Saccharomyces cerevisiae S288C: one gene and its partners. The gene in region 3 interacts genetically with the main gene of each other region. Each region holds a gene or a part of one and is shown on either strand. Other genes may lie near its edges.

What was found.
Region 1: mutations in SRP102 (region 3) and FCF1 together harm fitness less than expected from each alone (positive genetic interaction), as found in Saccharomyces cerevisiae (one large-scale study listed by BioGRID).
Region 2: mutations in SRP102 (region 3) and JSN1 together harm fitness more than expected from each alone (negative genetic interaction), as found in Saccharomyces cerevisiae (one large-scale study listed by BioGRID).

The regions. Positions count from the first base shown.
Region 1 is NC_001136.10:1,149,288-1,152,433, forward strand, and holds FCF1 (rRNA-processing protein FCF1), read right to left. Parts: upstream 1,234-3,146; coding exon 664-1,233; downstream 1-663. Other genes in the region: YDR338C (uncharacterized protein), read right to left, coding at 1-179; YDR341C (arginine--tRNA ligase), read right to left, coding at 2,516-3,146. UniProt on the Saccharomyces cerevisiae protein: Essential protein involved in pre-rRNA processing and 40S ribosomal subunit assembly. Required for the early cleavage steps of 35S rRNA at the A(0), A(1), and A(2) sites.
Region 2 is NC_001142.9:596,737-600,499, reverse strand, and holds the start of JSN1 (Jsn1p), read left to right. Parts: upstream 1-2,163; coding exon 2,164-3,763. Other genes in the region: BUD4 (Bud4p), read right to left, coding at 1-1,765.
Region 3 is NC_001143.9:159,785-162,860, forward strand, and holds SRP102 (Signal recognition particle receptor subunit beta), read left to right. Parts: upstream 1-1,816; coding exon 1,817-2,551; downstream 2,552-3,076. Other genes in the region: tRNA methyltransferase RSM22, read right to left, coding at 1-1,558. UniProt on the Saccharomyces cerevisiae protein: Component of the signal recognition particle (SRP) complex receptor (SR). Ensures, in conjunction with the SRP complex, the correct targeting of the nascent secretory proteins to the endoplasmic reticulum membrane system.

The DNA of each region.
Region 1 (3,146 bases), on a different chromosome or scaffold from region 3:
CTGAAACTCCTCTGATCAATATTTCTCGTTCTTGCACGAAATTTTCGTACCAGAGGATTCTTCTTGTTGGGAGGTAGGAAGCCTAGCGATATCCTCCTGTGAGTGTTACCGATACCCATACCATTTGTTCGGAGGGAAGGATGCACTTCTGAAAGAGTCTTTGACAAAATTCCAGCCATTTTTTCAACCTTTTTTTTATCCGTATATATTAAGGTATGCTATATGTGTATTTTCCAATGTTTAGTTTTTATAATAATACTTCTTCAGCATCAAATATGCTTGCTTATGTAAAAATACAATCAAGTTTTGTCCCTTGCTTGCGCGAAGATGAAAACTTCCTTAAGAAATATTCTGCATCGCGTGGAACCCATGGAAGAGGATAATAGCTGACAGTGATATTATGAAAAGATGCCAAATGGTTACCGTTTATAACTGTTACTGGTCGCGTCTCAAACGCCCTCTTTTTTCTCCTTGCATTTGCGTTTCTTTAGAGCAATTATTGAGTAAATGGTCTTGAAAAGAAATAGAAATATCCTTAGGCATTTCAGTTCATCTGAAAACATGCTCCAATACGGGCAAACCATGAACTTGTTGTTATGAAATTAATATACATATAAACCAAAAACATTGCACTACATACTTAAAGAGTGAATACACAGTAGTTTAAAAGACATCTGGCAATTTTTCAATGACGTATGCGTGACCGCCTACGCTCATCAAAGGAATTCCAGGGATTTTTCTAATTCTTTGTTTCAGGCCGGCATCGTTTGTAGCTACGATGTAACACTTATGTTGTAAGACTCGATGCACTAAACAGTCATCCGCGTACGTACCCTTGTGCGAACAGCTTAGTCTCTTTATTCTAGGATCTCGAGCCAGTTTCAAGGCGATACGGTACTTGGGGCCCAATTTTTCTAACTCTGCCATCACACAATCTGTGATTAACGGGTTACATTTTGCGAGTAGACAGTCCATCATTCCTCTAACAATATCGACTTTTTTCTGGATAGAAAAATTTATAAAATTGGTATCTATCAGTACTTGATAAGGTGGCTTTATAGCTTGATTGTATTGAAAGAAAAGTGCACTTGATACTTGTGGTATATTCCTGGTTAGCTCAGGGTCTTCTTTAGTTTTGATATTTTCCTGGTTTTTCTTCAATCTTTGGTCTTTCTTGGTGTTCAAAGTTCTTTTTACGAGGCCAAACTTTCTTGTTTTCTTAGCTTTACCCATAATTAACTGTTGTAGTATATCGATATTTCCGTTACAAGTCACTGTTATTGTGTGTTAATGCACAGTAATGTTTAAAGAGGCATCATTCAAGAATAGTAGCAAGCTGAAAAATTTTAGCCGTTCATAATGATACCTTTAGAAATATGCCAAATTTTTTTGTTATATCTTCCAGTAGGAACCGATAGTTTGAGTAATGTTTATAAAATCATTGCAAGTGAATAAGCAATTAATGGCAATAGTCCACAAACGATAGGTACATGAAGGTGGCTCACAATCAAAAAAATCAAGCTTTAAAATAGTGGATGTAGAAAAAATAAAGTGCGTCACAGACAGGATTCGAACCTGCGCAGGTAAAACCCAATGCCTAATTGCTTTTCTGAGGAAATAGCAGGCATCGCCTTAACCACTCGGCCACTGGGACTGAAACACTTTGAAGTGAAAGTGTTTCTAGTTTTCTATATCATTACTATGGTGAAAATCTATATTTTCTTGATTAGGAATAAAATCATGGAAAGAAGTGTTGGAATAAAAATTCACTATCGTCTGTCAACTAATAGTTATAGTATCAATATACTATCATATACGGTGTTAGATTATGACATAAGTTATGAGAAGCTGTCATCGAAGTTAGGGGAAGCTGAAGTGCAAGGATTGATAATGTAATAGGATAATGAAACATATAAAACGGAATGAGGAATAATCGTAATATTAGTGTATAGAAATATAGATTCCATTTTGGGATTCCTATATCCTCGAGGAGAATTTCTAGTATATTCTGTATACCTAATATTATAGCCTTTATCGACAATGGAATCCCAACAATTATCTCAAAATTCACCCAATTCTCAATTTGATAATTGTTGGGATTCCATTGTAAAGAAAATCGGTATTTCTACATTATAATATTACGATTATTTCTCCTTTTGTTTTTTATGGTTTTCATTACCCTATCACATTATCAATCTTTATATTTCAGATTCCATTAAATTTGATAACTTGGTTGATAGATGACAGTTAATTCTTTTTCCAATAGAAACAACGAAGACTTTTTTCTTACTTTTTGTTGATGTTTTTCAAGTTCTGTTTGACCCGTATTTTTCTACGTTAAAATCGTGATTACTTTACGAATCTTGTTTTCTTATTTTTTTTCGATCTATTTAATGAAATGTGGACAATGGCCCCTAACAAAAAGATGGCAAGGATTGAAATAATCCGTTTATACAATTTATATCCAATTATAGAAATAAAACACATTTGAAGAATGGCTTGGTGGAAAAGTTTATTACATTCTTTCTACGGGAGTTAAACCTAACAAGCGCATACCGTTGTATAAAACTTGTCTTGCAGCACCATATAGAGCCAGACGGGCAGTTGCTAATTCTTCAGTTTGACCAGCAACCCATAAGACGTCATAACAAGAAGAAACCTGGTGAGTCAATTTGAATAAATATGTGACCACGGTTGTTGGCTCGTGGGTTTTGATTGCATTTCTCAAAACATCGGGGTATTGGCCTAGCAGTCTAATCAACAGTTTTGCGGCAGGTTCTTTTAATAACGAAAAATCGGCATTTATCCATTTTTCTTGGGTGATACCAGAAGCATTTCTTTCAACTGATCTTAACCTTGAGTGAGCATATTGAAGGTATGGACCAGTGTCACCTTCGAATGAAAGCATTCTTTCCCATTTAAACTCGTAGTTGTTGATACGCTTACCTTGCATATCTTGAATCATGACGGCAGAGATACCAACTAAATCGGCAACTTCTTCTGGATGCTCAATTTGCGCGTATTTGTTCTCATTCTTTTTCATAACTTCGTGCATTTTTTCCTTAGTTTCCTCCAAGATATTATCTAAGAAGACAACAGTACCTTTTCTTGTTGACATACCTTGGACCATACCAAAGTTGACATGC
Region 2 (3,763 bases), on a different chromosome or scaffold from region 3:
GAACGTGTTCCGGCTCTTCATTTTCTTCGACTTTATGGTACTCACTTTCATCTTTCTCGGTTTCAATGTTCTCATCCTTAGTTTCAACTTCCTTCTCTTCAATTCTGTCTTTATTACGAGCCTCGCTCACCGACTGATCTTCACATGATGATGAAAGATCATGTTCTTCTGCAGAAGTTTTTGCCAATGGTTCATTCACTTCAGCGGCCTCTCCATGGTCGACACCAATTTCACTGCCATTTATTATATTTTCTTCTGGACTCTTTGTTCTTTGTCCATACAGGCTCTCCTCGTGTTGAACGATTCGGTATTCCTCTCCATCCTTAAAGTTCCTTTGGAATTCACTTTCATTATTTAGTTCAGTGAATGTTTCTTCTGAAGAATCCTTTTGAGGAATTATTGCCGGTTGTTCATTTGCATGTTCACTTTCTTGATGAAGCTTTTTGGTATCCCAGTCTTCTTGTCTCGTTACTTTATAGTCAGCAATGTAGCTTTCCTCTGACTTTGTAGATGTTGAAATATTTGCGTCTGTTTCTTTGTCTTCATTCCATACGTCATCCGATGTAGCATTAAGATCTTTGAATTTGGGTTCACTGTGCGCTAGAGAATCTTCCTGTGAAAATTCTTGAACATTAGCATTGGTCCCTTTATTAGAGTATACTATGGACCTAGTGTCATTTTCACCCAAAAAGGTAACGGGCTCATTGCTGCAACCTTCGTCAAGAACTTTTTTCTCATCAAAAGCATCATCGATATGTTCCATATTCTGTTGAAGGTCCCGCACAACATCGTTTTCAATAAGCGCATCCGCATCAGTAGTGACTGGATTATTTTGGCTGGAATCAGCACCCGGCAGATTCGTTGAAATGTTTAAATCCTCCACAGAGGCTGTTGGCGATCTTGAATCAGAATGTGAATTGTTACTAGTGTTCAACAATTTACTTGGAAGGTTACATTTCTCATCGACTGGCGTCATTTCGGGCGTTGATGACATACAAAATGGTAATTCTGGGATTGTTTTCGTATCTAGTTCTCGTCCTGTGCTATCAACTGAGGTGTCAGATACTAGACTTTTGTCTGATTCGTTGGGATTCAATGTGAAATCAAGATTGAGCTTATTAATCGACACTGCGTTAGTTATTGGAATCCTTGATGGAGAGTGTAATATTTGAGGTGACTGTGTTAAACATGTGTATGCATCTTCTTCCTCTTCATCTTCGTCATCGTAATTCGTTTCAATTTCAATAGAACTTCTGTGGATGGGCGATTCTGGATACGACAGCAGTGGTTGAGTCGATTTCAAAGTAAATTTAAGGGGAGAGCTGCTAAGTTTTACGGGCTTTTCCTCATCACGGGCTAGTTTATCTATATCTTGTGCCATATTTTTCAGATTATTAAGCACTTTGGGAGAATTGGCATGACCAAGTGCCCCGTTGGCAACAGAGTTTTTAATCCGTTCCTGATGCACAGCGGCTGGAGACTCTTCAAGTTCCGAATTTACACGTAAGAGACCCAAATTAAGGCTTTCATTTGAGATGGTAGACATCTTAGAAGGTGATCGACCTCTACTATTTTCTGTAGCATTCGACCTAGTATTGTGTTTGACCAACATTTCCATGGTATCATCGCCTATTTCCTGCAGCGGAAGCTTCCAGTTGTGTGGTGTATCTTCGGAACCATTTTGCGTGATATTAGACTTTGTTTGTTCCATTTCATTGTCTATCTCCTTCAGTAGAGAATCTACGGTACTCTCTGCGTCGTGCATGCTTCTGTACTTTTGTTTTTATATAATTTAATGAACTAAAAAATTCTTCTTGCACAGACTGAATCAAAGAAATATACACCAAACCAACGAAGTTTAGTGAATGGAGATGTTCCCTTCTAAGTGTTTCCTTTGCATAAATAAACATTATTGTTTTCTCGAGGAATATTTCATTGTTGTTTACCTTTTTCCAAATCGGGTCATCTATTCGTTCCTCGCGACAATGTCTCTTTTTCATTTGGACAAATTACCCGCCGACAATTATTGGGACAAAGGGGGGCGTTTCTCGTAGGATGACCAATGGCGCATAGAGATGAATAGTTAAAACAATAAGAGGCACTTCGAGAGATTTGTGTGTATGTGTGAGAAAGAGCGTGAACGTCTATTTATTCCTTCTTAAGATGGATAAAAGTAAGCAGATGAACATCAACAACTTGTCCAACATCCCCGAGGTGATTGACCCTGGCATCACTATCCCAATATACGAGGAAGAATACGAGAACAATGGAGAGAGTAATAGCCAACTGCAGCAACAACCCCAAAAGCTTGGATCATATAGGTCGCGAGCAGGAAAATTTTCTAATACATTGAGTAACCTTTTGCCCTCCATCAGTGCCAAGTTACACCATTCGAAGAAAAATAGTCACGGAAAGAACGGTGCTGAGTTTTCCTCTAGCAACAACAGTTCCCAATCTACGGTGGCGTCCAAGACACCAAGGGCCAGCCCTTCCAGGAGTAAGATGATGGAAAGTTCTATAGACGGTGTAACTATGGATAGACCTGGCAGTTTAACCCCTCCTCAAGACATGGAAAAATTGGTGCATTTTCCTGACTCGAGTAATAACTTCTTAATTCCTGCCCCCCGAGGATCTAGCGACTCGTTTAACTTGCCACATCAGATCTCGAGGACGAGAAACAACACAATGTCTTCTCAGATAACTTCCATTTCATCAATCGCCCCCAAGCCTCGTACTTCGAGCGGAATATGGTCTTCAAATGCTAGTGCGAACGATCCCATGCAACAGCACCTTTTGCAACAATTGCAACCTACGACAAGCAATAATACAACTAATTCAAACACGCTCAACGATTATTCGACAAAAACTGCATATTTTGACAACATGGTATCTACTAGTGGAAGCCAAATGGCAGATAATAAGATGAATACGAATAACTTGGCTATCCCAAACTCTGTTTGGTCAAATACCAGACAGAGATCTCAATCCAACGCGTCTAGCATATATACCGACGCTCCACTGTACGAACAGCCCGCTCGTGCCAGTATTTCATCGCACTATACTATTCCAACACAGGAATCTCCATTGATTGCTGATGAAATAGATCCGCAATCCATCAATTGGGTAACAATGGACCCCACTGTACCATCAATAAACCAAATATCGAACCTTTTACCCACAAATACCATTTCTATTTCCAACGTTTTTCCCCTACAGCACCAGCAGCCACAATTAAATAACGCGATAAACTTAACAAGTACTTCCTTGGCAACCCTATGCTCCAAATATGGTGAAGTCATATCTGCTAGGACTTTAAGGAATTTAAACATGGCTTTAGTTGAATTTTCTTCCGTGGAAAGTGCCGTAAAAGCCTTAGATAGTTTACAGGGCAAGGAGGTATCTATGATTGGAGCACCAAGTAAAATTTCATTTGCCAAAATCTTACCTATGCATCAACAACCCCCACAATTTCTTCTCAATTCTCAAGGCTTGCCATTGGGTTTAGAAAACAACAATTTGCAACCACAGCCTTTATTACAGGAGCAGTTATTCAATGGAGCTGTGACTTTCCAACAACAAGGAAATGTTTCTATACCTGTATTTAACCAGCAATCACAACAATCGCAGCACCAAAACCATAGTTCGGGTTCTGCTGGTTTTAGCAATGTTCTCCATGGTTATAATAATAACAATAGTATGCACGGAAACAACAATAACTCAGCAAATGAAAAAGAACAATGTCCTTTCCCTCTACCACCACCTA
Region 3 (3,076 bases):
CAAGTTCTCCTGATGGCGCACATAAATCCATCATAACATGACCTTTACGTTTGACAGGATCATTGATAATTCTAGGCCAGGAATTTTGCGTGTCATCACCCAGTGATCCAATGTCATATTTGCCGTTCACATTTTCATTCCGTAATTTCTTAATTTCTTTCAACGTATTTTCGTCCTTATGTGATCTCTCGAATATTAAATAGGAGTAGTTTAAAATTTCATAGTCACGACCATTTCTTCTTCCCGTTCCTTTTAGCCTCGACGCATTTCCTTGAGAACCATCCCATGAAGTAGCGAGAAGTTTACCCTTCTTTAACTCTATACTGAATTTGGGACGCTTGATGCTTTTTTGAAAATTGCAGAACTTTAAGTCTTTACCCTCTTTATGAGTATAAAAGTTAGGATTTCCAACCTGTAAGGGACATTTCCTTTGATGTGGACAAGGTGCAATCACCTTCAGAAAATAATTACTGGAAATGTTTCCTAATTCAGCATCTTTTTTGCCTCTGACTGTTACTCCCCTAGACCAAGGTCTTGGTATTTTTCCGAATTCATCTGGAAAGTTTTCAGGTCTAAGCGTAATTTGCCTTGCCCTGGCTATAATCTCGAATCCCATTGGGTTGCCTCGTTCAATAATAACAATGTGGCCTCCAGGCGCTAGAATATTTAAGTAGTGCTCAATATTTTCATCCACCTGAATTGGAAATTGATTCCCGTCATGAAGAAGTTGATGCGTTAATATTATGAGGTCATATTCCTTAGATGCGGGAATAGAAGACCGCAAGTTAGTCATAATGTTTATCTTTTTTGTCATCACTTCTCCAATATGTTCATCCTCTTGAAAGTTTTTGTTCCGTCTATCTGTTTCCTGCTCTTTCTCTGTAGACACATTTTCTTCTACAGTATCGACCACCTCGTTAAGTTGTCTGCTCAAAATGATTTTGGCTCTTTCTTGCATCTCCGCATTCCCTAAAATAACGGCATCTTTTAGATCAGGTCTATAATTTGGGCCTAAAATATCATTCAAGGCAACTATACCAGTCGCTGGGCCATATCCAACATCAAGGATTCTTTGAGGTTTAAAATTATCAGGACCTACCCTTTTTTGTAATTCTTTCAGACTTTGGAAAATAGAACCATAATTTTGTAAAAAAATGGACGCTATATGTGCATCCACTTCCATTTTGGTTCTACAGGGACGATGTAATGAATTTGGTTCCTGAATCTCTTTGTAATAATTTGTAGCAACCCTTCTAAGATTATTGGGAATATGTACAGCCATAATATTATTGTTGATTGCTTTGCTTACATCAGGATTCAACTCTAATTGGTCCCGGTACGACTGGCCCTGAAGTGTTTTGGAAAGTAATCTGAGCTCTTTAGAATTAGTTGCTTGAGTGGTGCTAGCGGTTTCATCTCTGTACGACGGAAGAACATTGATTCCTCTTTTATTTGAGTCTATAAAATCCGCCAAATCTAACTTTGGTAAGTTTAAACTTGTGAACTTTGAGCTGAACCGGACATTTTGTGGTAGGATACTGAAGCATCTTTTCATCATTTTACCTAAACTAGACGGGCCACCTTATGTCCTAAAGTGTCAGAGGTTTTGCTGCAATACTGTTCTTAATTTTTCACCATTCACTTTTTTCATCTAGTGGCGGAAAAAAATAAGAGATATGGAAAACAAATATGAACCATCATTAAACTTGAAAAAGATGAGAAGAAAAGAAATAGTTAGGCTTTAAGTGTCTGTATTGATCAATTAATTATTACTTTACCACTGCTGTTTATTAGCATAATAGCACACGGGATCAGAATGCTTAGTAATACACTTATTATTGCCTGTTTATTGGTGATAGGGACAACCATAGCGCTAATAGCAGTGCAAAAGGCATCCTCCAAGACAGGGATCAAGCAAAAAAGTTATCAACCATCTATTATCATTGCAGGTCCTCAAAATTCTGGAAAAACGAGCTTGCTTACGCTGCTAACCACAGATTCAGTAAGACCAACTGTTGTTTCTCAAGAACCGTTATCAGCAGCGGATTACGATGGTTCCGGCGTCACGTTAGTGGACTTCCCAGGCCATGTCAAGTTGCGTTATAAACTCTCAGATTATTTGAAAACAAGAGCCAAATTTGTTAAAGGGTTGATATTTATGGTAGACTCAACAGTTGATCCTAAGAAATTAACAACAACAGCTGAGTTCTTGGTAGACATATTATCAATTACTGAATCTAGTTGCGAAAATGGTATTGATATCTTAATTGCATGCAATAAAAGCGAATTGTTCACTGCAAGACCACCATCAAAGATCAAGGATGCTTTAGAAAGCGAAATTCAAAAGGTTATTGAAAGAAGGAAAAAATCGTTGAACGAGGTTGAAAGAAAAATTAACGAAGAAGATTATGCAGAGAATACACTAGACGTTTTACAGTCTACCGACGGGTTCAAATTTGCAAATTTGGAAGCATCTGTAGTTGCTTTTGAGGGCAGTATTAATAAAAGAAAAATTTCCCAATGGCGCGAATGGATAGATGAAAAACTGTAATATAATTATAATTTATAACTAGATGAACGATAGATAGTTTAAAAACAAGCATTTAACATAGCTCTAGATTCCGTACGCAGAGAAAGACATAGTTGCATCATCGACACATGCAATATCAAAAGTAACTCTTTTTGACTGCTGGTGTAAAAAACACTCACGATGGGGGTCGAACCCATAATCTTCTGATTAGAAGTCAGACGCGTTGCCATTACGCCACGCGAGCTAATATTTGTTTGATGTTCCAGCAGTTATATGATCTAATTATGCGGGAAAATAATTGAAGATAAGTAGTTTGATGTATTTTTATTATAGTATTATATTTTCTGATTTGGTTATAGCAAGCAGCGTTTTTTTTCTTCTTTACCATAATCATTGTACCAGGAAATTTTGTTCATAATTATTGTGTTGATTGTCAATGGTCAAAGGTACAACTAATGAAGATTAAATATGGTGAATAGGAGGCCTGCTAGCCACCGTACATTTAATATGTCCGCGTGTTGGAATAAAAATCAACTATCGTCATCA